Linked DNA regions of Drosophila melanogaster. The protein of the gene in region 2 interacts with the protein of the main gene of each other region in a pairwise test. Each region holds a gene or a part of one and is shown on either strand. Other genes may lie near its edges.

Evidence for each region.
Region 1: the proteins of CG14297 (region 2) and RNF220 interact in a two-hybrid assay, tested with the Drosophila melanogaster proteins (one large-scale study listed by BioGRID).

The regions. Positions count from the first base shown.
Region 1 is NT_033777.3:22,718,110-22,734,359, forward strand, and holds RNF220 (ring finger protein 220), read right to left. Parts: upstream 8,306-16,250; 5' UTR 8,161-8,305; coding exon 6,964-8,160; 3' UTR 6,775-6,963; downstream 1-6,774. Other genes in the region: wge (winged eye), read right to left, coding at 1,762-1,908, 1,970-2,414; Irp-1A (iron regulatory protein 1A), read right to left, coding at 3,321-4,150, 4,215-4,986, 5,050-5,150, 5,213-5,942, 6,009-6,178, 6,250-6,342, 6,403-6,415; CG45049 (uncharacterized protein), read left to right, coding at 9,198-9,382, 11,100-11,175, 11,244-11,430, 11,501-11,650, 11,708-11,770, 11,838-11,998; Takl2 (Tak1-like 2), read right to left, coding at 14,303-14,481, 14,543-14,678, 14,745-14,924, 15,299-15,598, 15,666-15,716; Dcr-1 (Dicer-1), read right to left, coding at 16,000-16,250.
Region 2 is NT_033777.3:18,888,788-18,904,666, reverse strand, and holds CG14297 (uncharacterized protein), read right to left. Parts: upstream 6,547-15,879; 5' UTR 6,375-6,546; coding exon 6,341-6,374; intron 6,274-6,340; coding exon 6,092-6,273; intron 6,031-6,091; coding exon 5,857-6,030; intron 5,795-5,856; coding exon 5,432-5,794; 3' UTR 5,325-5,431; downstream 1-5,324. Other genes in the region: CG34284 (uncharacterized protein), read left to right, coding at 1,760-1,804, 1,881-2,210; CG14294 (uncharacterized protein), read left to right, coding at 2,478-2,897; Rh2 (rhodopsin 2), read right to left, coding at 3,812-3,907, 3,962-3,995, 4,078-4,994, 5,091-5,189.

The DNA.
Region 1 (16,250 bases), 3.8 Mb from region 2:
ATAGGTGATGCCTTACTTGTTCCTGGTTCCCCCACACACACACACACACACACACACACAGATTCCAGACTACTTCTAGCAACAGCCACCGCTGCTACCTTGTCTGAAGTCTGAAAAAACAACCCACCCGAGCACCATGAGTCCATGAGTAATCTGTCTTTGGATTCCCGCTCTGATGTTCCTCTGAATGGCGCCCACGCAACTGGAACTTTAGCTTCAGCTCCATTGGAGCATGCTAACTAAGCCGAAGCCCTCGATACTCTGCTCATTGCCGAACCATAAGTAATGCGCCTACTTTATAAGGGTTTTTTTCTGCACTCAAAAGCACTAGAACCCGCTAAAAATATGTATTTTCTGAAGTCATTCTAAAAATCTAAAAGGAAAACGTATTTGATGCATGAAAATAAACACCCTCAATCGAGAATGAGCTGTTCTGTCAGAGTTTCTTACTAAAAGAGAACTTCTGGGAAATACCCAGAATAGATATAAAAACAAAATTTCAATCTGTTTTTGCATTGGATTTTTATAGCAGCGTTGAACTTCTAGTTTAATAGATATATAAAAATAAAAACCCCCGCAAAAAGTAGCTTGTGACTTCAATTTTATCAGAGTTGATAATAATAAATGAGTAAATGGAGATTCCAGGTAAAAATAACAAAAAATAAGTGCAACTTTGTAAAGTCAAAGCAATACAAATTATATATTCATTTAGTTAAGTGTAATGATTCATTTCCCTGCCATCATATTGCTCTAACCATTTATAGACGTTATCATTTAAAGAATAACATGAAATTCCATGTAGTGATTAAAACAAAGTACACAGTTTCCTGTACTCTTGCTCTTTGATTAAGGCTATGGCACATCTGGTACTATTTTGTAAATAGATTGATATGAAAAAGTAACCCATCCAAGATCATAAAGTTCATGTTCGTGTCATGGGCATGGTTGATTATTTCACCATTAGCAGACTTTAAAAATAATCCGGAAAATGTAATTCGACTGGCTACGGCGACAAAACACACCCCCAAAAAAATATAAACATATTTATGTGCCCATCTAAAGAGCAATTTCAAGTCGACCAGAGCCAAGGCGACGCAAAGCCTCCCTTCTCAAATCGCAATGTGTTTCACTTTCGTTTCACTTCCGCTTTAGAAGTTCGTATGATTTACCACCGGGTTTCCTTCTGCCCGCAAGGGAGGATGGATATGGGGATGAGCCGTTTTGAGTCGAATCCAGTCGATTCGGTGGCTGTCACAACAACGACAGCCGCACAACAGGCGGCCATCATATGATTCCTGCCCTCTAAACTCCAGCGGGTTGTTTAAGGCGGAGACGACACCCTCGGCCATTGCTCACTGATGGAATTCCGCACAGCGCTGAACGTTTGTTGGCAATCTTATTAGTGGCATAATTGAACGACGTCCACGTCCTGGCATCATAAGCATCATATAACGTTGTCCCTTGGGAAGCGCCGTTCATTAGGGGCGCTCAAATCTGGTGACTCAATTGAATTAGATGCCCAGAAGTTACACGGATGGAAAAAATGTATGGCACAAGACAGTGATTGTCTTAAATTTACATATCATTTAACACAAATGGAAAACAGCATCTAGAAATATCTAATGATTCTTTAAGTAAATCATTTGGTATCTCAAAGATAGCAGATACCTTAAAACAGTTTACATCCCCTTGAATATCACTAAGAACTTATTATTTCCATGAGATGAAGCTGCATTTCTCTCTGTGTAGCTTGGCACTCACCGAGGTCAGCGACGCGTATGCCGAAGCAGTTCAAGTCCTTGTTGAGTGGTGGCTGCAGCGGCAGCGTAGCGGGGGTGTTGATAGCCGGCACCAGAGCTTCTTGCGGGCGTTTCCTGGCCACGGCGATGCCAATGGGAACGGAGTTGCCTGATAGAATCGTAATTAACCGATGAGGAGTGCTCTTGACCAGTGGCTGGGTGTCACCTACCTGTGGACTTTTCCAATTCCGATACCTTTGGCGAGGGAGCCTCTATTTTGACGAGAGTGGTCAGTGTGGAGGAGGACATGGTCTTGGAGGAGGCGGTCATCGAGGCGGAAGACAGGCCCTGATGCTGCACCTGGTGCTGGTGGTGTTGGTGATGTTGCTGCTGTTGCTGGTGGCAATTGTTCGAGCTTATTTCGGACACCTGGCAGGGTTCCCTCTTGATCTGCACAAAAGTGTACGACGAGTTGGTCTGCTGATGGTGATGGTGCTGCAGGGGAGTGGCCGTCGCCGCGGAGAAGCCTCCGAATTGATCCAGCTGCAGATGGGCGGTATGGGCACCAGGATGCGATACTGCCGCAGTGGTGGGCACCAGAAAAGTAGCCGTTGCTGTGGTGGCGCTCAGAACGTCGGCGGCACTGCTGCTGGCGCCAGGATTAAACGTGGCCATCGGGTAGCGGTGGCTGTGCACATATATGTATGGCTACCGCTCCCTGGGATCTCTAGCCTATACCTATTTCACTATATATCTTGCGGATTCGACCAAAAACTAAACGTCCATTATCCGCACACACAAACACACGTGGACACACACGGCACACGGACACACACTAGCACTGGCCCACACACACACGCACACAGTCTACATTTTTACAGGTTTTCGCTGCCTCTTTCGGATGCAACATTGGCTACTGGGCCTGCGGCAATTCCCCATAAACAAATGACATAATCCAAAGCGACGCGACGCCACTGGGCACTATCCACAGGTCGAGGGAACCGAAGCACCCACCAGTCCAAGTGCGGTTGCCCAAAATAAAACCCTGTGCGATCCGAGATCTTTTCTTTTTTTTTGTGTTTTTTTTTTTTGGTGGGGAGGCGGAGGCGCGACTTTCCTGCTGCGTTGTTGCGTTTTTGCGCGGTTCTTCCAAGTGAATATCGAGCACTGGCTGCAGAGCTATTGGCCAACACACGATCTGTTGCTTATTTATGTTTTTCTTTTGCGAATTGGAATCAAAATCCTCTGGAGAAAAGTCCACGGGACGGACAAAAAAAGAAGCAGCGAACTATGTTAAGTTAACAGCGATATAACAGGGACTATTCGATTTTATTGCTGCCTTGTCGATGATTCACCAGCAGGCGTTAGGCATTTTTAGCAGGACTGGTTTGGCCATCGGCATTTCTGCTATCGATAACATCCAGAGCGCGCAATTTAAAATATTATAAAATATTTGAAATATTTTTTTTTTAATAATTATCATCTCACAGATGAATGTCAAATTTTATTTCCCAGCACATAATAACAATTAAAAGTCGCCTAGAAATGCATATGGAATATAAAAGTCAACGAACGCACTAACTAATCCAGCATTTTGCGTATCATATAGTTCAAAATGCCGCCATTCTTGTAGTACGTTATGTCCACCTCGGTGTCGAAACGCAACGTGGTCTCAAAGACATTGCCATCAGCATCGACCTGAATCCTCTGGCCCGGCTTCAGTTCGCCCTCGGGCAGGACAATGTTGTACACCTCCCTGCCACTCAGTTTCAGGGTATCGGCGCTCTGGCCAGGCAAGAACTGCAGCGGAATGATGCCCATGCCCACCAGATTTGAGCGGTGAATGCGCTCGTACGATTCAGCAATCACCGCCTTGATGCCCAGCAGAAATGGCCCCTTGGCGGCCCAATCACGTGAGCTGCCACTGCCGTAGTCCTTGCCTACGACCAGAACCAAAGGTGTTCCTTCGCTCGCATACCGTTCCGCCGCATCGAAGATGTCCATCTCCTCGCCACTGGGCACGTGCAGTGTGCTGGGTCCCGTCTTGGATGCCAGTTTATTGACCAGACGGATGTTGGCAAAGGTTCCGCGTGCCATCACCGCATCATTGCCACGTCTGGATCCATACGAATTAAAGTCGCGCGGCGTTAGACCCCTTTCCGACAAATAGCGCGCTGCCGGTGACTTTCGTGCAATGGATCCGGCTGGCGAGATATGATCGGTGGTCACTGAATCACCGAGAAGCAGCAGACAGCGAGCCTTCTCGATACCTTTAAGTTTGGGCAGCGCACGAGTCATACCCTCGAAGAACGGTGGTAGTTTGATGTATGTTGATATTTCACTCCATGGATACAACTTGCTATCCGACACCTCCAACGTTTGCCAGTCCCTGGATCCCAGTTGAATTTTGCCTGTGATAGCGGACACAGTTAGCCTAGAGCTGCGGAAAAATCTTAGTCAGCTAGCTATACTCACTGTACACCTCCTGGAACATGGCGGGAATGACGTGCTTATGCTCTACCTCCTGAATCTCACTGCGCGTTGGCCAGATATCGCGCAGGAACACCTCCTTGCCGTTGGAATCCACGCCCAGCGGTTCGATCTCGAAATCAATATCCACACGGCCGGCAATCGCGTAGGCAATCACCAGCAGCGGACTGGCCAGATAATTGGCCCTAGTATTGGGATGGATGCGACCCTCGAAATTGCGATTGCCCGACAGGACGCCACAGCAAACCAGTCCGTTCTTCTCGATGGTGTTCACTACGTTCTCATCGAGCGGGCCCGAGTTGCCAATGCAGGTCATACAGCCATAGCCCACAATGTCGAAGCCCAGCTGCTCCAGATAGGGAATCACACCGGATTCCCTCAGATAGTAGGTAACCACGCCAGATCCTGGTGACAATGAGGTCTTGATATACGGCAAAATACTCAAGCCCTTCTGCACGGCATTCTTGGCCAGCAGACCAGCGCCCAACATCACCGAGGGATTCGAAGTGTTCGTGCACGAGGTGATGGCGGCAATCACAACAGATCCATGACCTATCTTATAGCTCTTCCCATCGTCCCATTGGAATTCACCACTTGCAGCCAATGCACTCGGTGGTATGGCGAATCCCTTGAAGCCGACAGGACTTATGAGGCACGACTTGAAGTCTTCGCACATGCTGGAAACTGAAACGCGATCGTGCGGTCGCTTGGGCCCCGAAACCGAGGTCACCACGGTGGATAAGTCCAAAGTTACAGACTGCAGGGTAAAAAAGTGATTCGTTAGTATGTCTTTGCATTGGAAAAACAGAATCTCACTTACCTCCGTGTATTGGGGATCCTGATCCACAAGGGAATAGTCACGAAGTTGTCGAGTGGCCTTCAAATACTTCCGGATAATATCGATTTTCTTCTCGGAGCGATCTAATGATCCACATCCATGGATATCAAGTAATAAATTTAGATAATTTTTAAGATTGACTCACTGGTTTGGCGCATGTAACTCAGCGTGTTTTCATCGATTGGGAAGTAACCCACAGTGGCTCCATATTCCGGACACATGTTGCTGATGGTGGCGCGATCCGCGATGCTGAGCTCTGCCACTCCGGGGCCGTAAAACTCCACGAACTTGCCGACGACACCAAGCTGACGCAAATGCTTGGTAATGGTCAGCACCAGATCGGTGGATGTGGCCAGAGGGCCCAGTTTGCCCTCCAGCCTGTAGCCAATCACCTCTGGCAACAGCATGGAAATGGACTGGCCCAACATTACGGCCTCCGCCTCGATACCGCCAACACCCCAGCCGAGAACACCTAATCCATTGATCATTGTAGTGTGGGAGTCAGTGCCCACAACGCTATCCGGATAAAGGATCTTAGATCCGTCCGCTGAACTGTCGCTTTCGAAAACCACTCGGGCCAGATACTCCAGGTTAACCTGGTGCACAATGCCAGAGCCGGGTGGCACAATTAGCATATTGTCAAAAGCGCGAGCTCCCCATTTGAGGAAGGTGAATCGTTCCTTGTTGCGCTGGAACTCTAGTGACTCGTTCTTGGTCAATGCGTCCGAGGAGCGAACGAAATCCACCTGAACGGAATGGTCGATGACCAGGTCGGCAGGGCAGATGGGATTGATTTTCTCAGGATTGCCGCCCAGCTCGCGGACAGCATCCCGCATGGCAGCAAAATCCACGACGGCGGGAACGCCAGTAAAGTCCTGAAAGCAGGGAATATCTTAAGAAGTCACATACAAACATAATCTATGTGATGCAATAATCCACACCTGCAATATAACACGAGCTGGCTTGAAGGAGACTTCCACATCGCTGGTTTCCTGCTTCAGCGATGGAGTCCATCCCAGGATGCTCTGCACATCCTTCTCCAGCACATGAAAGTTGTCACAGTTGCGCACCGCTGATTCCAGCAGAACGCGAATGGAAAAGGGCAGTGACTCTGTGGGGGGTTAATAATATTCATAAAGATAACAACAATAATGATAACGAACAACAATAACGATTACCAACCATATTTGCTGTCGATGGAGGGCAGATCAAAATACTTGTAGACGTTGCCGTCCTGGGTGAATGACTCCTGGAACTGGGCAAAGGGATTGGCGCCTGCAAGGAAGACAGGATTAGCGTACAGATCAAATACTCCTTTTTCCAATTAAATCCCACCGGAGCCGGACATTGTGGAAAAATTAAACAGAAAACCAAGCAATGTGATATAGAGATGAGCGCGTGAGGAACCGCTACCAGGCAAAACTTGCTCATCACTAACGCAAACATTATATTATCGATAACTGAACATGAAAACAAACCGGTACACAGTAAAAAATATTTATTTATTACTTAAAATGAAACATTTGTAAATTATAGTGGAATAATTTATCATTTTTGTGATTCGAAAATAATATTGGATATAATATTGGATTGATTGCTTTTTTATTTTAGTTCAAAATAAGGTATTTAAAATAACTTGTTTGCATGTCTTTAAACGCTTTTCCCTTCCTACATGCTAATTTCGTTAAATAAACTTAAATATTAATTATGTTTTCTGCGGTTTATTGCAATAGTTACATGGTAGGCTTATTGTAATGTCACGTAGTATAATTGGTATTTGTAATCTATATAAATAATATGTATAGGGGATTATCATCTAAAGCTGCGTCGGGATGCAAAGCCTGTTTTATGGCGCAAGCAATTTGGCAGCGGGGATAACAAGTCTGTGATGGACGTCTACAGGTAGATTCGTCGCAGGTCCTTCGGCGTGGTAATCGAGTTGCACTGCGGGCACAGCTTTCGCGCGCCGAGCGTCTGCAACCAACACTGCTCGCAGTGGACGTGCCAGCAGGACACGGAGATGGCGGGATTCTTGTAGTCGTCGATGCAGATCAGGCACTTGTACTTGCCCTGCGCCTGCTTTTCGTAGAGCCGCAGCTTGGCCTTCAGCGATTCGATGATCTGCTGCTGGTTTTGGGAGGTGGATCGCGTGGACCGCGACGTAGACGGCTCCTCGCTGGCTGGTGGAGCCTCCACGTTGCTTGTGCTGGCAGGCTCTTGCTCGGTGGCTTCGCTGGAATGGTTTGGCTTGGGCCCATCGCTGGAGGAGATAAGTCGGCGCACGTAGCTGGTAACATCCGCCTCGGAAACATTTCCCTCTGTGTCCTCGTTGACCAGTGGGATCACATCGCCCTCGCCATACTGCGTAGGACCATAGATGTGAGTGTCATCCTCGTCCACGTTGAGATCTTCGTCCTCGTCGTCCTGCGCCTGCTGACTGCCATTGTATTTGATTCTCTGGCCCAGGCCCAGGGCGGAATAGCCTCCTTGCACGAGAGTGGAGACGCGAATGCGCTTCTGTCCCGCCCACTCGTACTCTTCATATTCCTCGCTGTCCTCCGAGTCCTCACTCGAATGCCGCTCACCATTGGCCTGACCATTGCGGCGGCTCTGGCGCAGGCAATGATTAACATGCTCTTGGATGTTGGACTGCGGAAAGTTGTGGTTGCACACGGGACAGGTGGGTTGGCTCGATTCGGCAGCAGCTACGGACGGAGTTGCTGCAGCTGGAGGAGGAGCAGCTGCTACCGTAGGATTTACAGTTGCTGGTGGGGCAGGAGAAGCCGGACGCTTCCTGGTGCGCTGGCGCTGACGGGCCTGCCGATTGCGCTGCACCCGCTGGAACACGCTCCACGGTTGTCTGCCCCCCGATACCGAACCGGATTCCTCGGACGCGGTTGCTCCGCTAGTTGGGGTCGGTGGAGTGACAGCGCTAATGGGATTGTGCAATCGCTCCATCTCCACTTGGCAGTGATCGGCCACCTGACTGCGCTTGATCTTCACGTCGCATGTGGGACAGATCACGTCGTCGTCGCTGTTTCTGCTCAAGTGCTGGGCGAAGTTCTCGCCGTTGGACACCGTGTCCGTAGCCATCGATTCCTCGGATCCACCGCGGACTCTTAAGGGTAAACGAAGTTAAAAGATTCTGTAGTCGGATTTTGTTTTGTTCGATAATCTCTGTCCAAGCCACGCGACGCCGATTTCTTACGTTCTCGTACGGTGGAAAACGGTCACACTGATTTCGTTATTTTTCGTGTCAGTGGAAGTGGTCATTGCGATATACATCGTAAAACCGTTACAAAAGCGCCAAGCACAGTGATTAATATGCTTAAGCAATAATTAAAATTTTATTCACTTAAAAATATCTTTATAATAATTGATTATTTGTTTGAATTCCGTGTTAATTAAAACTTCAAAGTTTGCATTTTGCATTCCAACAACTCTTTTGACCTTAAGTCTTACAATAAAATAATTAAACGTACTGATTTCTTAATTTTTACTCTACTCTGGTTGGTCTTAATACAGCAATATATATATATTATCAGATTGCGTTGTTTACATGCCCGATATAACATGTGACAGATAGTGTCTCTCCCTCACTGTTAGGAAATTTTTATAAAGCACAGCCCCCGCTTTGATAAAAGTTTAAACATCCGAAATGTAAGCTATTTTAATTTCCTTTCTTCGTTAAATTAAATAATTTGACGGTAAATGTAAATTAACTGATAGTTCCATGGCACTTTATCGCTATCGAGAAATGCCCAGCCAAAACGATAGTATCGAGACAACATCGATTTAAGTTCCAGCTCTATGAGGGAAGCAAAACATTATTATTTTCGTCGTTTTTATTTTTTGATTATATAGAAAAGTCAGTGGTCGAGGAACATGTGAAAGTGGAAAAGCGACAGAGCTTTTCAAGCAGAGTGTAAGTGCATACAGGTTGAACCCAAAACCGACGCATATTTTTGCGAAAGTGCAAAGCAGACGGCGAGAGTGTGAAAAGGCAGCGAAAAGAGAATAGAGAAAAAATATAGCAGCCAGTTTCTCCTGGGCGTGAGTGTGTGTGCGTGTGCCATATTGTTAAATAAGGCAAATATAGTAAAATAAACGTAGAAAAAACAGCAACAACTATGCATCAGCAGTACCAGCAGCAGCAACAACAACAGCAGCAGGGTAACCTTGTTGGCTACAACAACAAAATGAACGTCTTGCCCAATTACACGCTCAGCGGAATGAGCTCCTTTGATGCCGAATCGCTGCCAGATTATTCAGAATTTGATTCCGAATCGGTAACCCTGGACTATTACAAGGAAAGGTATATTCCTGAACTCAAACAGATCGCATTTTGTTTTGCTTCCGTTCTTCCGCATAGCACACAACACACACACACACATATATAAACATACGTGTATACGAATTCCCTCGCCCTTGCCATTGTTGTTGTTTTGCATTTGGCCGTTTGCCCCAATTTTGCCTGCCGTTACCGTTACGTTCTATATAGCAATTAACCGTTATGATCCTGTTGCCATGCCACTCATTCACACACACACACTCACACACACAAAGTCGGTACTCGCTCATCTGCGAAATGTGTTTTTGTTTTTATTCCACATTTCTAGCCGCTATATGTAAAACTATATTTATCTCCGTCTAGCCCGTCGAAATATCTTGAGATACATTAGACGCAACATCTACTTACACAAACATATGCATCTTTGTTTGCGTATCTGAAGATATTAAAATTGGCAGGGAATCGTGCGAATTAGGCATAATATGCAGTTTTAACGAAATTTTGATACACTTCCTATTTGTTAGCAACTATTGAGCAAGATCGATAATAAGAAGACTCTGTTTTATAATATTTGTTCAAAATTTCATTTCAAGATGCTGATATTTTTTTTACAAACGTACATAAATTGTCACAAGTCTGACCTATTCTATTGTACTCTCAGTTAGGGTATAACAATGGAATGCGAATGGATAATTAGCATGTCGGTATTTCCAGCATTCAAAATGCTTAGTTGCAGTCCGCCTTGCAGCATAATTTATGTGGGGACTGCACCTCATCACCCCAGCTTCCGTCTTTTGTCATTGAGCCAAAATACGCCCCCCAATGATGACTGAAATATTCCGTCGCGTTTTTGTCTGGCACAATAGAGCGATTTCAATTTAAACAATCCCAAACTCATTCAACTGTACCAACGCATTGTTTTGTAAATTGCGTCAGTTAATACAAAACATACATACTACATTGATGTCTACAATTCTGGTCAAAATAGTATAGCTAAAGTTTATTCTGCTCTCAACCAAATTCTGATCCTATTTTTTTTGCATATCAATGCTAAATCTAAAGTTCAATAGTTGTTGTTCATTACACATGATAATAGAATGATAATAGTTAAAAACCTAAAAATTTGAGCACTACCGTAGTTTTAATTGTCGCGTTGATGCAGTTCGATTGGAATAAACCCCATAATAGTTAGCCATTGTCTTTGTCGATATTGTTGCTCGAGTTGTTTTTGCATGTTGCTGCTGCTTACTTAACTGTCTTGATGTAAACAATCATGTTGTACAAACCATGTGCGCCAGTCGGTCTAATCGAATGTCACCAATTTCTCTATTTCCCGTCCCGCTAACAAACAAATCCCCCCTCTTTGACAATACAGATGTTGAACGGGCTGCTTCCGCCAGCAATTTGAAATTGAAAACGCATTGGATAAACCTTAGCGCGCAAACCAAAAGCAATAAAACGCCAATTGAAGCATTTATATTAGATTGTTAAAGCCAACCGGCGTAGCATTTACTTGCCTGCCCCAAAAAAGTAAAAAAAAACAAAAAGAAAAGAAAAGAAACCCTTCCAACATCCCACTAAGCAAAACTAACCAAGAAACGCATTGAAACGCATTCCAATTAGTAGCTGCGGGCAGCACATTGCCTGCATATACATAGTCGATAAGGTGAGTTTGGCTGGCCTAATAAGCCGGTAAAAATACCCCTACCCCCGCAATTAATCACAATTATCATGCGCGCAGTGTTCTACGTCCACCAGCGGAGAAAATGGCGCCGACCACGACGATTGAGACCATCACAATCACGAGGCCGCTGAAGGTATGCATTTGGCCTAAAGTTTCGGAAACGTTTACAGATTGCACCGACTGATTTCTCTGCCCTCACAGGTGATTGCATTTATCTGCGGCGTCATCGTGGTGGCCCTCATGATTATGGCTCTGGCGTCCACAGATTGGTTAATGGCCTCAGACTGGCGGCAAGGTCTCTTTGTGCACTGCATCGAGGATGATTCGGTGCCGCCGCTGCCATTCAATATCCAGGATCCGCCAGGATGCTACTGGACCCGCGATGTCGGTATGTATTGCATGAAGAAACAGCAATCTTAAGCTCGAATTTAACATATAATTCGTATAATGTCCCTTAGGCTACATTAAGGCCACAGCCGCTCTGTGCATCATCACGCTGATAACGGACGTCATTGCCACAGTACTGACAGGTCTGGGCCTCCGGACGCAGAATCATAATCTAAAGTATAAGTTCTATCGTATAGCAGTATTGGTGATGCTTGTATCCTGTGAGTAACTAGCTGAACTTATGTCAGAATCACATGTTAAATATAACTTTTTCGCAGTGCTGGCCGTATTGTCCGCCTTGATCGTATATCCAGTATGCTTTGCCGGCGAACTAACCATGGGTATGGTAGCCTGAAACCTTGATGTTGAACTTCTTTCCACTGACTTGTATTCCATTTAATGTTATAGCCAATCGACGAGTCTGGGAATTTGGCTGGGCCTATGGCGTCGGCTGGGGTGCGGCCATCTTTCTATTTGGGGCCGTTGTCCTGCTGCTCTGCGACAAGGAGTCGGAGGAGATCTACTATAAGGAAAGGAAAATCGTACATGAAAACCAAATGCGCGCCTAGGCAAGGCCGCACGACCTGCCTGACGTCGTTCTGTAGAATAAGTATATAGCAACCAACCAACAACACACACAGACACACATAGATTTCGATTTAAATCAGACTCAAGAACAGAAGCAATTTGCAGCTAAGCGAATGTGTTACAATTATGATTGTGTATATCATGACCATTTCAAACCAAAAATCCGTAGCCATCTTATAAACCACCCCCCACCCACCATCTTATAGTACTCGGCATTTGTTTAGATGACGTTACACCCAATGAGTTGATTTTGTGTTCGTTCGTTTCGAAAGGTAATCGTAGACAAGCCACAAACACACGACCCACATCTATCATGTAGTCAGTCAGTCAGTCAGTCACATGTATGTACGTCTAGGAATTCTGAAAGTTAATCGCATTAACCAAAAACCCCTACATATATACAACTGCATGCCACATGAGTTCCCCAGCATTGTAGGCAACTTTTAGAGCTTGCTTTTCCGTAGAAAACTGAGAGCAGGTGCCAGTTGAAATTAGACCTCTTACAATATTGTACTCATACTCGTACTCAGCTACATTATACATAGCAATGTACTCCCCATGTATCTCAATCCTAATCGTGAGCAGAATCCAAATTAGAATTTGTATATGAACGTAATCGAGGGAATAGGTGTAACCACGACATATAAAGCCACAATGTCAGCCACATCGTCATTGTCAACGTTTCATGCCGATTACGCTTTCAAAATATTTGTTCTCCATTTGTGCTCCATATGTATATCCGTTTCGAATATTATAAATTATGTGTTTGTCCCAGTGTTTTGCGCGATACACAACACCAAATGTACTCGAATATATGTGTTGCTCTTTTACCTTTTGTAAAATAGTTTTACCAAACCAGTCCAGTACTCAGCTTGTACTTGTACTAATGTCCCCGAGCCGTTCAGTTATATGTTTTAAGCCAAGCCGACTTTTAAGTATAATCACTCGTTTGTAAACTCCTATTTTGTAATAATTTATTGATACCTGTGTTCTTACCACAACCGAAAACATATCACACGCAACTGACAGCAATAAAAACGTTTTTGACACCTTTTGTTAACAATTTAAGAACATATATTTTTTTCTTTTTTTTTTAATTTTTTCCATATACGATAAGTTTGTTTAAGTTGTAAACCAGCATAAGGTATGAGTATTGGCGATATCGCAACAACTATAACTAAGCCATCCTTTTTCATAATTCAACGTTATCTCTGGATTTGTTAGTTTATTAGCAAATCATTCGAATTCGTCCATCACATCTCGCAATCAGAACATAATTATGTTTCGTTCGTTTTCGTTTTTAATGAGAAGATTTTGATTCAACGCCGAAATGAAGCGAAGCAAATGCAACCAAAATTAAATGCGACCTAAATTACAACAATACAAAGGGAATATATATGCTTGAACATCCATATATCCATATATATATGAAGACATTGAACAAATCGTAGGCAGGAACGTGCGGTGAAAAAAAGACGAAACAAAAACAATTATAGCGAGTATAAAGACGACAATTATACCAAAACCAATTGAATTAATTAAACTATGCTTACATACACGCATGTTTATATATATATATATATATATATATAGTTATATATATATAAGTTTAAAGTATGTAACAATTAATGCAATTAAAAAACAAAACAAAAGGGAATAAGTAAGAAGCAACCTATAACTAACGAAACAATTATACTCCAAAAAAACGAAACTCTACGAAACGTTACAGTTTTCCATTGTGTAACTAACCAACACATGAGCGAGGATCATTTTGTTTTAACAAGCAAGCAAAATATATATACAAACACATATGAATATATTTATTAAAAGCGTTTTAAAATTTAATTTTTTAAATTTACATTCGATAGAAGAAAAACGACAAAAACAAAACATCACCAGATTAAGTAACATTATCAGTAACAAACGTATTGCTAGTGATCCATATACTGTAAAACATATGCCTAGATCATATTTTATAAATTCCCTATATGCATTACCGAATACCTAATACCTATACCCGCATCTAACGAAAATAACAAACTATGTACTTCCACAAATTATTCTGCAGTTCACTGGATATAGCCTTGAATTGAATATTTGGCGCTCCAAAACCCAAAAGGCATCTAGCCCACATACCAACCACCCACCCAACCTATCCGCATAACCCGTACAGCATCCCGTACAATGTAAATACTTCAGGAGAGTTTTCAAGAAAATAAAATAGTGTTTAACGTTCACAACGATATCCGTTTTTAATAACGAATGTAAAGGGTGGAGAATTAGTTTTATGAGTAAAAATCCAGTGGTGGAATGGATCCCGCCTCACTTAGGATTCTACCCATGCTTTGGGAAATCAGTTCCATAGAAAATCTTTTGCTGATATCCGGATCCCAAGAAGCGTACAAAAGAGCAACTATATCCGCGGGGCAGCCAGACATAATGCAACTTAAATCCGGTCTCTCGCCTGAAATCATAAGTTTATTACATAATAATAATAATAATAATATCGAGAGATAATCTCTTGCCTTCATTAATAGCCATGTACAGTTCAAAAAGCGTATTATATTGCTCAAATGGCTCCTTGCGCGACAATATTTCCCAAAAGGTAATAGCCCAACTATACACATCGCACTTTTCATCGGGTTTATTTCCTTGTAGAACCTTTTGAAAGCCGGTTGGTTGGTTGATTATTATTCGATTGGATTTGAAATCAAACAACTCCCTTACCTCGGGCGCTTTGTATCTGCAGGTGCCCGCATTGCACGATATCGATTGGGATAGGTCCACAACAGTTCCGAAATCGCAAATCTTCAGTTTGAGTCCCTTCTCGCATAGCAGTGTATTGAGTGGCTTTATATCGCGATGAATTACTGCTTTCGGCTGCATGCCATGCAGATAGGCTATGCCCTATGAAACCGTCCGTATTATTGGGCACAATAGCTACCACGCTTCTACCAAAGACACTAGAATAACAAGATGCGTAACAATTTTTTTGGCGTGGCTCTAGAGGAGGTTGCCTAAGGCTCTCTCTCTCTCATTTTTATTCAAGAGCGAGAGAGCGGAGAGCTCTACAGCGAACAGCTCTTTTCTACGCATACAGTGACAGCCGACCACTGCATGTGTGCACACGTATGTTCATGTATGCTCATGCATTGTAAATTTGTCAAAATATCTATATTATTTTGGATCAATTGGCACCATGTAAGAATTTCTTGTTTTGCATTATTCTAGTGTCTTTGCTTCTACTATCTACTATGGTGATGATACCATTCATACCATACCTGAGCGATCTGATGCGCCCAGTTGAAGGCGTGGGCATGCGAATAACTTGGCTTGCTTTTCGCGTGCAGAAAACTGGACAGAGATCCACCGTCTACGAATTCCATCAACAGCAGGGCGCATCCCTCGTGCCTCGATGTGCCGTAGAGCTCAACTATGTTGACATGGCTGGCCTTTGTCAGCTGGTAGATCTCTCTTTCAATCTTTTTATCCTCACATCCCTCGCGAATTCTCTTCAGCGCGATCTCACGATTTCTCCAGACCGCCCTGTATACGCTGCCATAGAATCCGGTGCCTATAAGCTGCAATGGAATTGCACGTTGAATTTATAATGCCATCCAATCCAGCTGGCCGTGGATAATCTCAAACCTCTTTTGTCTGGATCTCCTCATAGGGAACACCCTCTACAGGAGCGGACATTTCTTATCAAATGGCAAATTTTCACTGAGTTTAGTTCGCGAAAGGTTAAGCATTTAAGGTGTGATTAGCTTATCAGTGACTTTCGTTTGATGACGATTTCTTATCTTATCAACATCGATTTCCTCTGCAATAATACCTCATAATGCAAGGTATAAAAGAAGATAGGAAATTCTGCACAGTTATTCGACCATAGACAATCTATTTAAGATTTGTACAATTAAAGTTCTTATGTCTAAAAAAATAATCATTAAATCTAATGAAACACGATTGCAGCGATGACTTCTTAGTCTTTTTTGGCTATCAAGCCCTGCTTTTTGAGTTGGCGCAATGCGCATTTGGCCGCCGTGCACTTGGCAATGCGATAGTTGCGTCCGATGCCACGGAAGGTTCCTTTGCAGAAGACATCCACGGTAACGCGCACCCGTCGCCCATCCGCCAGCTTCTCGGGCTTGCCGAACTTGGCGGTTTCCGGCTCCAGCTCGAGGAGCTCCCGAATGGGCGATTTTGGCACTGAGTTGCTGAACTGCTCGATCT
Region 2 (15,879 bases):
AAAGGATGCTTATGCTTTGGAAAGTTAGTGTTGTCATTATGGGGGAAATATGCTAACTTAAGTTCTAAGCAAATAATTTTTATAAATTAATAGTTTTAATATGCTAACTTGCAGGATTAAAAAAGTTACTATAGCTTAGCTTTAAGTAGCTTAATCCAATAATACCAAAATTAAGCTAAATCGTAATATTTCATTAAAAAATATATGCAACTGAAGTGACTTAATTTTCAGTGAAATATATAATGGCCAAGTCGTCATCACTTCGACGCACACTTGAATCGTTTTGGCCATCGCATGGAACTTGACGCATTTTGGTCAAATATTTGTACTGAGTTCCTCTGCTTTGTTTCCCTGACCTCCCTGGCCCAGCTCATTTTGCGGGGTTATGACAGCCCTTTTATGCACTTTTCCATTGGCGCCATCAATTGTTTCCAGTGCATGATTTGCTTCTCAATTGGAGCCCTTTGAGTTGAGGGTCGGGAGTCAGCTCGCTTGAGTTGCGTCCAGTTGCGGCGGCAATGTTGATTTATGTGCCAGTGCAGCTCCAATTATCCAATGTCCTCACTCAAATTGCCGGCCATCCTGCCCTTCGATTCGATGTGAATCGAATCGATTCGATTTGATATGGCTTTTGGATTTGCATTTCAATTCGAATTCCGGGCTTAGGACCTGTGGTTATTAAATGGCTTGGCTTAACGAGCCAAGGACCGGCCACAAATGACCAAATGACCAAATGACGAAGGGGCCATTGGATGTTGGATAAGCCACGAACAATGCCTAAATGGGGGCGAGTTTGAATTCAGATTGAAATATTTAATTAAATGTAAATTTCCAACATACACAACATCCGCCGCTTCACAAGATGGGGAGTGCAAAAGTTTTGGGCCAATTAATAAAAGTATTTCGGTATTGAAATTCGAGTTTGTTCGTCGTCATTACAACAATGCGGGCCAAACTTGGCCAACTTTGGTGTAGTGTTAGCCGCGAACTGATCGACCAACCCTCCGTAACTAAACCTCAACCGAATGAACCGCCTTAAGCTCTGTTTTGGTAATGCAAAAGTTGCGGCATTTGAAATTCAGGCAGCAGCAGCAAAACAAAAAATGGTAATTTCGAGCACAGAATGAAATCCAGCCGCAACTGCCCAACTAAGAGTATATATAAATCCGAAATTGGTTAGAGGAAAAAATTAAAAAACAAAAAAAAAAGAAATAAAAGCAAAATGCGACACATACGAAGGGATTCTACGGAAAGTGCATGTATGGAAATTTGTTTTCGGTTTGCGGCTTTTTTTGTTTTGATGCAAAAGTTGTGTGTGCCCCCCAAAGTAGGCAACAAAATTTCTGCGGCTTTGGACTGTGTCAAAGTTCGTTAGTTCGTTTGTTATTCGACGATATTGTGGGTCGCAAAAATTAGTGCAAAAACTAAATCCGTTCACGACCAAAGTTCCAATCCAATAGTGAATCATCCCACAAACTGAATGGTGTTCATCCGTAGTTTGCTATTAGCACTTGCTACTGTTATTTGATTCCCGAGTGCCACTTCCGCTGATAAAGTTATCTAATTAATCCAGCAAATATACGCTTATGGACCAACATAAAACATAATGGGGTTGAGGCTATCGTTTCGTATTGCACTCAGATAGATGGTGAGATAATGGAGGCTGTAAACTCTATCAAAGCGCAAACAGAAGATAAGTTTGAATGTCTTTCGAGTTTTTCAAATTGTGCTTCAGTCGGTCATTGAAAGTTTCCAGAAAATGTCGAGTGCAGTGCTGATAGCTTTCTGCGTCTTGGTTGTTTTGGTAATTGAAAATAATACTAAACACAAAAAAAAATCTTTAAAAATAATCTATTTTTTCATATATATGCGCTCAATAGACCGGACAATCGGTTGGCCAAAATGTGGCCGTGCAACAGTCAATTGATTGGGCCAATGAACAGTTCAAAATCGCTCAAGTTGTGGCCCAAGGAAAGCTACCCAACAGTGTTGAGGCCCGGAACGATGCCAATGACCAATTGGACACTCTGAAATTGGCTTTATCCCATTGCGAGGCTGAGCTGAAATCCACCCAAGGTGTCGATCTTCACAAGACTTGTGTTAAAGCCGTCTTCGCTGGCTTTTATACTGCCTTGGATCGCTTGGCCGCGGAACACTGGCCCATTTATGGAGCCACCTCTGGTGCCGCCCGAATTGGCTTCTTCTGCTAATTAACGTAATCATCTTACAAAGTTTAACCACATAGAGGAATATTTAGGAATCTCATAGAAGTCTAATATGTTATACAGATTTGGAATATGTTCGGAATAATAAAAAGTTATTAGGGTTGGATGGATTTGTTTTACTATGTTGTATTTCGTGCTTGTGTTTAAGGAATTTTACTTTTGTATAGAGATGTCAAGGTGTGTACTGCCTATGACAGCCATTTATTCTAAACAGAATCACAAAATTTTTTAGTTCGAACCACTTAGTGTACAATGAGTTGGCTGTCAACCATTTTCGGTATTATTTTGATAACACTTTTGTGTACGATATGGATAGCAGCGCATCCGCGATGGGAGCAAATGGCCAAAGCTGTGGCCTCCAAGATGAACTACGACGACCAGCATAGAATCCACACCGCATCTAGGGCAGCCAAAAACGTGGATGCGCAGATCCACGATTTCTACGTCAAGCTGGAGAATCAGAAGAAGGTTGCTGCCCGTGAAGTATTGGATAGTGCATACACTGAAACGACCAAATGCATCGAGGTATTCTACAGTGGTGAGCTGGAGCAAACGTTTAAGGACTGCATCGAGCACGTCACCCGTCTGCACATGGAAAGGCTGAGGTCACTCCTCCAAATTACCACTAAGCGACAGGCGAGCGGAGCAAGCAGACTTAAAATCTGGCACTGATAATACCCTGGAGTCTTCCCAGGATCGCTGGCAGGCAACGAGTCTGTTTTCTTTGCACCCAGTGCTTTCTGATGTACTTTAATTAGACAGTCAACTCGAGACCCGTCAGTGCAGCTTTTCATCTCAATCTGGGTGGGTGTGATTTCGGTGGGAGGGGATGGCATTCTAGTGCTCATTAGGCAAATGAGTGGTGTGGGTTGTGTAGGAGGCTGGAGGCCGTGGGTGGTGGCTGTTTCGTAATTATAATCATTAGACGCGAGACAAAACCCTCACAAAGCAAATAGCGACATTAGCTGCGTGGAAATGTGTGTCAATGAAGATGAATCTGCCCGAGACGCCAGGGAGTTGAACTCTGCGACTGGCATTGTTGATTTTGCAACGCTGGAGGGTCCGCCTTCGTGGAAGTTCAAAATTACGAGAGTTTTGGGTTTGGGGGACTAATGAGAATGCAATGAGTGAGTGGCAAAATGCATGCATATTTCCATTCACAAGTTCAATCATTTGCTGTGATTTAATTGCGTTCGTAGGAGATGTCGCTGAATACTTTGGGTATATGGAAGTCAGCATTGAATGGTGCAGCTTTTTAGAACTTAATGGGTTTAAAATTATAGCTATATATATATAGCTACATATATGTGTACGAGAAATTTGTATAATTAATAGTTTAAACACAAACTAGCCATTGGTAACAAGATTTACAACTTTACAATATTTAATACTATTAGAAATAAGTAAGTTTCAAAACAATTTGCAAACTAACTTTATTTTGTAAAGTTTTAGGAAACTACTTTTTGTTATACTGAGGTTTATTCCATTTTTTTTTTACATTTTTGTATCACTTTACGATATTGCATCACTTTTTTTAAACTTTTCTGTGCCCTTTGCAGGCAATTGCGTTGGTTTTTTTTCACGATTTAAGCCTTTGAATCCGCCTCAGATGTAGTTTCCGTATCGGAAGCGGGTGCATCCGGTTTCGGCTCATCCGTATTGCCAAACACACACATAGGGCACTAAAGGGCGAGAAAGGATTAGTGAATAACATTAGAATGGCTAAAAAGGTATACCTTTTCCTTGAGAACTATGCGGTACTTGGGATGGCTAAGGAAGTTAAGAAACATATAAATTAGATATAGATATCAAACGGAAATTGTTTTTTTTTTAAACCTATTTATTCACTCACCTAATGCCGTACACAATCGGATTGTAGACTGCGCTCGTTTTGGCGAAAGTCGCTCCCCAAATGGTCGTCAGTGGGGTCAATCCGTCGATTTTGAAGAGTCCGAAGTAGCAAATGACAAGGTATGGTGTCCATGCCATAAACCATAGGGAGATGGTAGTTAGAGCCACCTTGGCCAGTTTTCCCTCGGCACTTTTGTCGCAATCCTCAGAGCTCCGCAGGGATTTCACATTCATCTTCTTGGCCTGTTCCCGCATCGCTTTTTCATGTGCTGCCACGGCGGCAATGATGAACCAGTAGGAGTAGCAGATGAGAAACAGTGGAGTGTAGTAAACGAAGAGGGAGTAGGTGATTAAATAAGATCGCGGGTTCCACATACGCGTCATATAGTCAATGCTGCAGGCAGTCAGATTGCCCTCGGGCACATAGGCGCTCCATCCAATCAATGGCATGACAGTCCAAAAGACAGCCATCATCCAGATGAAAAGTATCTTCATTATAGACGTCTTGATGGTCATGGGTGTGCCATTGATACCCTTCACTATCACATTGTACCGATCGAAGGCAATCATGCACATGGACCAGATGGACACACAGCCAAAGAGCGAGCCACATCCCGCGTAGATGTCGCACCACAGCGGACCCAGCACCCAAGTCTCGTAGTAGAAGTTAATAATCATCACCGGCGACTGGGAGGCCATCATACAGAAGTCGGAGAAGGCCAGGTTGAGAACGAGCAAATTTGCCGGCGTGCGCAGCGACTTTGTTCCACCGAAAATGTAGACCACCACTCCGTTGCCGCAGCACGAGATGATCATAATGGCCAGGGTGAACAATCCCAGAATTTTGCTCATCATGGGATCCATGGGCGCAAAGCGGCTCCAGTAGGGGTTCACCAGGTGCGCCATGTCGGGCAGCACCTGCGGGATTGCAAGAAGGCAATAAGTTGAAGTGCCACCACAAAGGATTACAATTAAAACTAGAACTAACATAAATCATTTCCCCCAATCACTCACATTGTCCAGCACGGAACCATTGCCACTCGACTGGGCCTGAAACCTGGGCCCAGAATGGGCCAGGTCGAATGGCGTCTCCGGCAAATGACTGCGCTCCATGCTCAGCTACCCGCAACCCCTTTGACTAGACGATGGCTCATCGAAGTGGATCTGTGCCAAGAGGCCGAATTCCCAGCCCTTTATAGATGTTTGCTAACCCAATTAGCCGCTCATCAAAAGAGGCGCAGAAGACTTATAGACGGCGGACAGCTGCCAGATAAAAGTCAATTTTATTTAATTTCATACGCTACATAATCTAAGCGCAAGGTTAATTTGCCGCCTTTGAATATTAGTTCTTGACACTAAAGGGCAGCCAGAAATTTCTGTCCACATTTCTGGCACAGTTTTCGCTGCACTCCTTGGCTGCAGGATGGCATCGAGGTCTTCGAGTTGGATGGGTCGGTCGACGAGGACATCAGTCCACCGGAGGATCTTATCTCCGTGTTTAGCAGATATATGCCACTGTTGTTATGGCTTGTTTCCGTCAAGTGATTCGCCTTGGCCGAGTCCTGCGGCGCATTATCCTTGCCAGAGTAGTAGAGCTCATCATCATCAGTGCTGGGTAGCTCGTACTTGACAATGTCCACTTTTTGGCTAAGGATGAGCTGCTTGCAGCACTCTTTGATTTGGTAATAGGCGGATCGAAAGTTCTTTAGCTTGTGGGTCTGGATGGATTGCAATTGTTCGACATATACAAGTGGGTTGCTTAATGCTCAAATTAACTCACTGGGGATAGGCTGTCTATAAAGGCCGGCAGTCCATTCTTGCCAAACGAACTCAGAAGAAGTACCTGACAGTGTTTGCCAGCCCTGTTGTCCGCAGCCCAGAGGAGCAGTTCTTTGAACACGGCCTCATCCATTGCCACAACATAATCAAAGTACAGAAAATCATTCACGGTGAACTATAGAAGTAAGAATCTATACATATGTGGAGTTCATAAGTTGGCGCTAGGATAAGTTCACCTGACGACAAAAGTGATCGGATCGCAGTCCGTGCTCTCGCAGAATTTGCAGGCATCGCTTGTTCGGTCGCCGTCCAGTGTTCCATGTCCTCAGACCGGCACTATCCACCTCCCAGTAGAGACTCGTCTTGACCATCAGATTCTGCATAATCACCTCGGCCATCGGAGAGCTGCACGAGTTGCCTTCGAAATGACGTAAGTTTTTCATGCAAAATGGCAAAGAAATTGAAAAGAAAATCTCATTTCTTACCCATGCACACAAATAGTATTTTCTTGAAAGTCATTTTTATTTTTCTCTTTATACGTTTTACTTGGCTAAATTCTCCCACTTTCAACTATAATTTAAACTAATTTTCCTAACTTCTTTTTCGAGACTTATGTTGTATTTGACTGAGTTTTTAAATTGCCTGAAATACATGTCGAACGGAACAAATGACACGGCTTACTGGGTGGACTTCCTTTGCCCATTCAATCTACTGAATGGCCTGCTCCGTTTAGCCCAATGAACTCGACGCCATGGTTGGAGTAAATGACCATTTGCTAAGATAATCATTCCCACTAATGCACTTTTTACACCACTTGCAGTTCTCTCAACCCATTGAGGTCCTTTGTCAGGACAATGCTTGTTCTGTGCTCGTGTGCCACGCCCACAAACCCATTATTCTGCCAGAAAGGGGCGGGTGGCAAGATAGTGTCACGTGGCTGTCAGGTGTTGGCCCACGTACAGTCTTGTCGCGAGATGCATTCGAAATTAGTCAACAGGTTCAGCGAACTTCCAGCAAAGGTAAGGAAAATTGGACGAGAAGAGGGCCAACTCCAGTCATGTATGTTAAATGGGCAGAAGACATGCACTAAACTTAAAGCAGTTTGGCTTTTAAGATGCATGATTATAGTAATACAACACTAAAGTCATAGTCCAATACAAATTTATTAAATATGAAATTTAATCTTTTCGCTACTTCCGAGATTAAAGACAATTTGTTTTTCCGTGTAGTAATGATTGACCCAATCCCTGCTTATACTGATGTCATTTCACGATGACACTTCAGCGCACAATACAGTTGGAATTCATTTTAATTCAGTCTCAATTAAACGACTTCTGTGTGAACTCTCGGATCAATTTTGAACATTTCAGATGGCGAAACACTATGCCAGCATTTTTTTTTTTACTCTTTATTTTTATTTCGATTTACCTTGCCCCTTGTTGAGACGAGTGGAGCGATGGGGTGGTTGGCTTGTAACTTGGCCATTGGCAATATCCAATTGGAATTGCATTGAACGACTAAATTGAAAATGCAGCTGAAAAAGCATATTTCACTTATCACTTTTCACACAAAACACACAAGCAAAGGCCAAAACAAAGGGCACTCTGGCCAAAAGGGGTGGCCGGCCAGTTGGTGCCAGGAAAAGCGGGCCAAATGAAATTGTAAGCGCAAAAGTAAAGCACAACAGCAACATGCAGTACACTTGCAACAGCAACAGCAACAACAACGCCAGCGAAAACAGCAACAAGTCACTCACGAACCGGGTGAGTGGGAAATAATATGTGTGCTCGCATGCAGGATGGCTTGTGGGTGGTTGGGTGGTGGTTGAATGGCCTGGGTGGTGCAAAGCGGGTTAGATGCCGGACAGAAGTGTGGCTCTGGCACTGCATTGTTGTTTTAATTAAAAACAAACCTACCGAGCTGCTGGCCCGACAAAAAAAAAAAACAAAAAAGAAGCTGGCAAAAAAAGTAAAGCCAAAGTGAGCAACCTGAGTGGACAAAAACGAAGGCGGGTGGTGTGTGTGGTCCTACGCTGGTGCCTGAGCGAAAGTGTTGAATATTTGGAGCAAAGCTAAAAAAAAAAAACACAAACACACAAGAAGCAAATTGTGGAAAAAAATCCGAGAAAAATGTAGCAACGAAATAAAGAAAACCCAACGGACACACAACCGGAAATGTGCGACTATCTGCTCATACATATGTAAGTGTGGCCGCTTATGTGTGTTTGCTGCATTGCAACAACATTGGCTAATAGCAACCGTAATGCTGTGGCAGCATTTCGACCAAATTAAGGTATGAGCCACACCTAATGGCACTTTAAATGAAGCAGCCGAGTTGAAAATGCGAATAAAAAATGAAGAACAAATGAAGCTCAGGCCCGACCTGGCTGGCAAATGCATTTTGTTGACCACCGAATGCAATTTACAGCACAACAATCAGAGGTGAGCGCAAAATGTGGCAACTGCCCCCAAAAGAAACTAATAAAACACACAACTTTGTTGGCCCGGGCCGCCCAGGAGCTGCATTAACTGACCAGTGAGTTGGTGTAACATACACACATATATATTGTACATAGGTGCAGTCAGCAACAAAAGGGGCAACAAAGGGAGGCAACCAATGTGCTGCAACAAGAGGTGGTACAAAAACATCAACAGCATCCTCATAGTTTTGGCCACAAAGCATACACAATTAGACATGGAGCCCGAGTAGACAGGTGAAGAGATGTGAGTGGGCCAAGGGGCTGGTTGGATGGATGAAGTGGGTGAAAAGCTGAGTGGGTCGGAAAAGTGCAGCGCGTTTGCGGGCATTTCTCGCTGATTGAGGTTCAGCGTACACACATACATATATACACATACGTATGTATTTCCGGATTTGCTTTTTAAAATTAAATTTGCCGTGAGCACATGTGAATATATGTTTGTAGTCTAGGACTTCATCCTTGCTGCTGCTGAACGGCGCCAGAGGTCCTTTTTCGTTGCTAAACAAACGCCAAACTACAACCACTTTGTATGGGATTTTACTGTGCGTTCAGGTGTGAAAATTAAATTAAATTGTTTGCCCAAAAGGGGCGTGGCACTGTGTTAGCTAATTCCATGCATATGAATGCGGGCACGATAAATATTTATTGTCGCCACAGTCAAAAGAGCTGATTTAAAACTTTACAGTTTCATTTGCACAAAAATTAGGCGTTGAGAAAAAACTCAGAGATTAAACAATGCCACTTTGAGATTACATATACATTGACGTTCAAAGATTACGTACACTGACAGATTAAACTATATTAGTAATTATAAAGAGCTACTATCACATGTAGTGACGAAGCGCAGCTCAAGTGTGCGAATGCCACTGCTATGAATGTATGCATACATGAAAAAATTAAAATTTTCTGTATAACATGTAATTTCTAACAACATTAATTTTTAAAATATTTAAATACATTTTTTTTCCACTTTAAATTATTTGCCCAACGGTCCCGAAGTACTTAACGCAATTTCTCCCCTTCGTGCATTATCTTATCTTTTGAACATTTTTAAACAGATAAATAACAATAATATTGTATTGCCTTCTTTTGGGCCTTTGGTTGATTTTCGGTTGAGAAATGTCTGGGGAAACCCATTAATAAATGCTGCAGACGAGCAACGGAAACTGACCTCAGATAGGCGGATCGAAGGAAACCCAAACGGGCCCGAACTCATTAAAAAGCCAAAGGCAAATATGGCCGAGCGTCTTGGCCATTTCCTTAACCTTAAATTCGACCTCATCAATAGCGACGGCGGCAGCCAGTTGAAAAGTCATCTGACCGAGATTTTTTGTGGCCGATAATGCGGCACGTAGCGGCAATTCAGCAAATGATGCAGGAACTGGAACGGGTACTGGCACGGGAATGGGGCACGTTCATGCGGCAAGTCAATCGTCTGGAGAGGCATCTTCATCTGCGGCGCAGCTCGTAAGTCATTTACCATTTTGAGGTATTTAATGAGCCAAAAACTTTTGGCCGCACATAAATTAAAAGTCGACGGGAAACGGATCCAGGACCCCTACGGATTCGCCAGCGGTCAGGGTCAGGTGTCCGTCCGTCTGACCAGCAATATGGCTCTATTAGCATGCCCATTAAAATTAGACAAATGGTTGCCATTGCCGGTCGCCGTTTCGCATATCCGCAACTTTAGGCCAGTCCGCAGATTTATGGCTATATGAAGGTTCGTTGGCTGGATGGATTTTGGCCGGCCTTTCGCCGCAATCACATTCGCCACTTGAGAGAAATGCGCCGCTGCCGTTGGTTATGATAAATGATTTCGTTGCCCATCAGATGGGCAAATGCATGCATGCGTGTGTGTGTGTGTGTGTGTTCGCGGCACAGTGTGTGTGTGAAGGTCGTTCAAAGTCATCTAGGCGTAATTGGCAAGAGCAGGTAAGGTTCATACTCTATCAAATGCGGTTCCAAAAAAGAATGTAAACTTTAAATTATAAGTTTTGCATAAACTATTTTAAAGAAATAATTGTTGGAACATTATAAATATTTTATTCCTTATTATTAGTATTAATGCCTCAGTTAGAGTAGTATTTATAAATGCAACATTTAAAATATATATATTTAGGATGTACAAATACCTTATACAAATTTGTGAATATTTAAATGTAATATTTAAACTAAATTTCTAAATAAAAATAGTGAATTTTTGACATACAGAGAAACATATTTTTGTTAACTGTTTGCCTGGTTTTAGGTTCTTCTTGCTTTAAAATTTGACACTCCCACTTTAAGGAACCGACACTTTCTCCAATTGAGCTGCCTGAATGGAATGAGATTTTCCGCCTTGATTCCCTTTGCTGGCGCAAGTTCTTTGTGTTTGCCTAAGCGGCTTCCACTTGGCATTTTCTTCTGTACCGGTCCGAACTGGGCCGAAAGTCCTTGGCAAATTTAACCCTTCACTTCATTAAACGTACTTGCCGATACCCCGAGGGCACACAAATCACTTTGGCCGCAGATACAAAGGCTGGCTAGGATTGGATTGGGGTGTGGCCATAGAAATTCGACATATAGCCAAACAAAAGCCTAATCGTGCAGCTGCCACATCTTCTACTTCTCACTGGCCACACCCACAACAGCCCAGAGGAGGAGGAGGAGGCGGAGGAGGAGATCTGTTGAAGCTACCGCCTTTTGGTTGTAATCCATCAACCTGCTTCGGTTTTGATTTGGGGGCCACTGTCGCAACAAATACGGCAAACAACAGAGCAAGAAATTGGCATGGATGGGTGAAAGGGTTTTGGACTTTTTTTTTCGAAGCGGAGATGGTGAAGCCGAAGCTGGTGGATTTGGGAACTGAAGATGAAGTTGTAGGCCTGCCACAATGAGCCCAAAACGTTGCCAGCAAATTGTTTTCCATTCTCTGTTTGCCGGTGCGTGCTGTTCCTACATCCGTTCGGTGTTTTAGGTATTTAAGCATTTAGTCAGTCGGCTGAGCCTCTTTCACTCTAATCTTTCGGTCCATTCAGTTGTCATTTAGTCCACTCTTCTCCTAGGCCAGCCTTTGTGGATGAAGTGAACTTAATGCGGGGCAAATATGACAAATTAAGCCTCCAGGCAAAAGCTGTAGCATACTCTTGTGTGCCCCCCTATATTGTTTCAGATATTAGATGGTTGCTGTTGGCTAACAAAAGTAAAGCAATGAGCTTAATTAATAAAAGACACAGATTTTTTTTTCAAAACAGTGTAAAACTTTAAATTGTATATGACAATAGGAATTTTAAATTGCAATCAATTATGTTGATTTTCGGTGTTTTGTGCATTTTATTCCCATTTTAAATTATTTTTTTAGACTGTTAAAGAGCTTTTCTTTTTTTTTTTGGTTTTTTTATATAATTTTTTTTGGCTCTGCACTGATGGCTAAATCTTTGGTCTTTGAAAATAGCTCAATTAATAAAGTTTCCATTGTGGCTGCTGCCCAATTTTACGAACATCCATGACACTCCGCACTCTATTTCGACCACATCTCTGGTTTCACCCTTGAGTTGTCAATCATTTCGATGATGCGATGCACTGGAGATTGAACCAATTTCCGATTTCCGAGGATTGCAGCTGGTGTGGCCGCTCATCCTCATCCCATTTCTTTATTGTTCCTTTTGATGGCGCGTCAATTTCAATGCCGCACGCACATGACTTGGCCGCAAACTTGGTTACTTGGCCATGACTGTCGGGAGGGCCGCAAAAGCATGGTGGGCATCAGCAGCAGTTGGATAAAGTTTCCTTCACTTTTCGGAACTTGCAACTTTTCTCATTTGTGCGTGTGCATTGGTAAGTTGCACACACCACACTTCTTCAGTTCGCAGCTTGCCTTTGCAGCTTTCAAGTTGGTGTGGCATCCAACTGTCGTGCCGACCCTCGTTTCCCTCTGGCCTCTAATAGGACAAGCACGAAACTAATCCGCAACACGACGACAAGAAAATTGAATTCTCGCAACTGTCAAATTGAATCTGCCTGCGCCTGACCCTCTCCTTGTTGGCAATTGTGGAATCAAAACTTGAACATATTTGGCTAAGAGGGACTAAGCCCAACTGTTCGCCTTTGTTTAAGAAGGTTAAAAAAGTTAAAAAATGTAGAATGGAGCAAAATACTTTTAATTAGAAACAAGCATAGCCACAATGTAATATTAATATTCTATACCAAACGTTTGGTTTAGCATTCACAAAAAAATATTAATTAAATCTCTAAACCAAAAGAAGCTTTTCAAGTGAAGAAACGTTATAAGTAAATGTTGAAAATTGTACATTTCAAATGCGCTCAGCTAGTAAATAAATTGACAGCTGACTTTTCAAAAATGTAAAAGCATGCTTTTTCAAGTGCCTTGCGTATGAGTGATGTTGCTGTTATTGGCTTCGCTGACTTTTACCCATTGTAAGTGTCGTTTATTGACTTGCCTGGATAATGACAGTCTTCATCGATTACGCGATTATCGCAGTGTCACTTTAGAATTTTTCGCAAAATTTCCTCATTTTCGGGGCGTAAAAGCTTTTAGCCTTCGCCCCTCGTAACCGACCGCCCACTTCTCAATCTCCAATCCGAAACGTATGTATTCGCATCGCCCACTTTGCGTCATTCGGCGTTCGAAATTGCTGCGCTTCAAGTGTAATATCACTTAAGCTCTTAAGCAGTCAACACCAAGCAGTAGAAGATGGGGCAAAAAAAAAAAATAAATAAGAACAGCCAACCAGCCGCCTCAATTGCCACACTTTCAGCTGATTGGCCTTGCCACGCCCCCTTTTGGCCTTCAAAAAAGAACACAAAACTCCCAACTGTCTCATCCAGAACGAAACTAAAATGTCTCTAATGTGCGTCGAGCTGTTTAGCGCTAAAAGGATTTTGCAGTTTAAGCTGCAGAAGTGCAATAATTGAACAAAGGCCAGCAAAGATACACAGTGACATAGTTTGCATTTGCCGGGAAATAAAACAACGAGCAGGTGAGTGAAGGAGGTTCACTTGCGTAAGACAGGTGAGATACAACCAAATGCTATTTGCGCGGCACTGCCAAATAAGCAATCAACAAGAAAACGACAGCGAATTAGTCACCTGCACACGATGGCTGGTCCGTTGGAAATGAGGTGCGGAAAGTGTGGAAAGTGCGGAAGTGAAGGGCGGAAATTTATGTTGTAAAGTGCATAATGCAAATGCAGGCAAACAATAAAATAACGAGTTGTCTGTGCAAGCAAATTGCATCGTGAACACAAAAACAAGCGAGTGAGTCAGTTTGCAGCACGTGCCGGAGTCAAGGAGCCAAGGAGGCAATCGCCTCATGCTCGGCTGCCTCCTCTAACAAACGTGGCACAAACGACAACACTCAGTCGCAGACAGCCGGGTTGCTAACAAGCCGAACGAACACGGGGCGAGTCCAAAGGAGTCCAAAGGACAACCGAAGGAGCCATGTCAGTCAGAAGCAACTCCATCCAGGCAGGCAAAATTTGGCGCTTGTTTGCATATTTGAGCTCCTGTTTGCCACCTTTGTTGGCCCAGGTGTGCACGGCGAACAAAGAAACGACTTGACAGCTCAGACACTGCGAAAATAGAGTTTAACGATTTCTAAATGTTTAAAAACATACTTTTTCCAACTACTTTGAAGGGAGTTTTTTAGAAACCTACATTCTAAATTTACTATAATGTACACTAAGTTCATAGAAAGTGACTTAGACAATAGCAAGTCAAAGTAGTAGCTAAATAAATGGGCAAAAATAACACAGATCTGTTCAGATTCTTCGAATCAATTAGCGCAATATCCGCATTTGTTTGCATCTGCACCACGAAAAGAATCCAATTTAACGACGCAACGCTGTTCCGTATCCAATCGAATGTCCAAACATGCTGGCTCTCATTAGGGAAATCTCGCGTTCCTGTGCATGTTTAATTTAAAGCTCAAATCGAAATGCTGCGTGACTTAATTAAATTGCAATGCTATCGAAGGGGAAACCAGGGTTATCCATCCATTCACCCCAATCGTGCCACTGATGTGGCACCCATGCCACTGCCACTGCCTCTGTCAGTGGCAATAACAATTTAGATAAACATTGAACGCGGCATGTGGCGCGTGATATGCAAACGTGCGTAATTAACCTTTTGAAATGGATACCAGGTGGATACCCTCCCCTACGGCTTTAGATAATGCCCACAGTCTATATATGTGTATTGTGTATCCGCTGGCTAATCACCAAGTGCAGCTGATGAGTCGAGTCGAGCCCAAATACTGCACGTTCGTATTGAAATCGGCGCCGCTCCGCTGATGGCGCTAATCTAGATGCCACATCCCCGCAAGGAGTGCACTCCCCTAAACTATCAACAAATAGCATTAGGCATAATTATCAGCTTAGTGCAAGTATCGAAGGGCAGCTGTTGTTGTTCTGGCCACAAGGCTGGGCCTTCGCTTTCTTGGCCAAATGTCTTCATTGTCGTGGCCATCAAAGGGACTTGCAAATGGCATTTGCAATGACATTTGAGTCCTCATTCCGCACCTCCACCACCGCACACCGCATGTATATGTACATGCATATAAGCCTAAAGGATAACGCGCTGCGGGTGTGACTAATGTTGACTTGATGATGATTAAGTTGCACGTCCCCCAGGATGCCCCACGTGCGTGTTGAACTGTGGGCTGAACTGTGGGCGTGTCTGCTTTGAATGAACTATCTATGAAAAAAATGTGGGCCAAAGGGGAGCGAGCCCATTTCGGCCAAAGTCCCAAACCACGGCGAACGTGATTCAATTAGAAAGGAAAATACTGAACCGAGTCAAATGAAATACACTTAAACACTTTTTGCCAATAATCAGTCAGTGGCTAGGACCCGCCGGGGATTGTCACGGCACCTTTTAATTATGTTGATAATTAGTTGGCGACGTGACGGCTTTGAAGCCCAATCAGCAGTGCTTTCTGTCCCAGAGGCTTGTAATTGTTGGCCAACAGTAGCCTCGGTTTGGAGCATTGATCTTTGCACAAGTAGCTCCGGGATTTACACGGAAAGAAAAGATGGAGTAAGTACATACAAACATGTTAAAATTGGCAGAACATTGCCACTGGTAATAAGTTATGCGTAAAACACCTTGCTTAATTATGGCAAAGTTTTGTAGCTTGAGGCACGTTTCAATTGGAATGCCTCATTCCATTTAATTGCTAATCATCTTTGTAATTTCTAATAACTCAATTGATTAAACTTATTATAATTGCCTAATATTAATAATAAATGAAAGTAATGATTTTTCTACCGAGTCTATCGGCTTATTAGTTCTAATGATTTACTGAATAGAATTTATTGGGCTGAATGAAATTATATTCAAGAATAAAATGTGTTTCATTGCAAAGCTTTTATTGTATAGCTACGATAATGGTTACCCATCTGCTGTTTTGGATGATGTAATGACAGTGAGATGACAGCTTTGGTAGCAAGATGGGTAAACAGGGTCAGGTGTGGACGAGAAAAATTGTCAGGTTACGGGACATGGCTGCATTTTGGACATTCGTTACTGGGCTAAGCCTCCACCTGA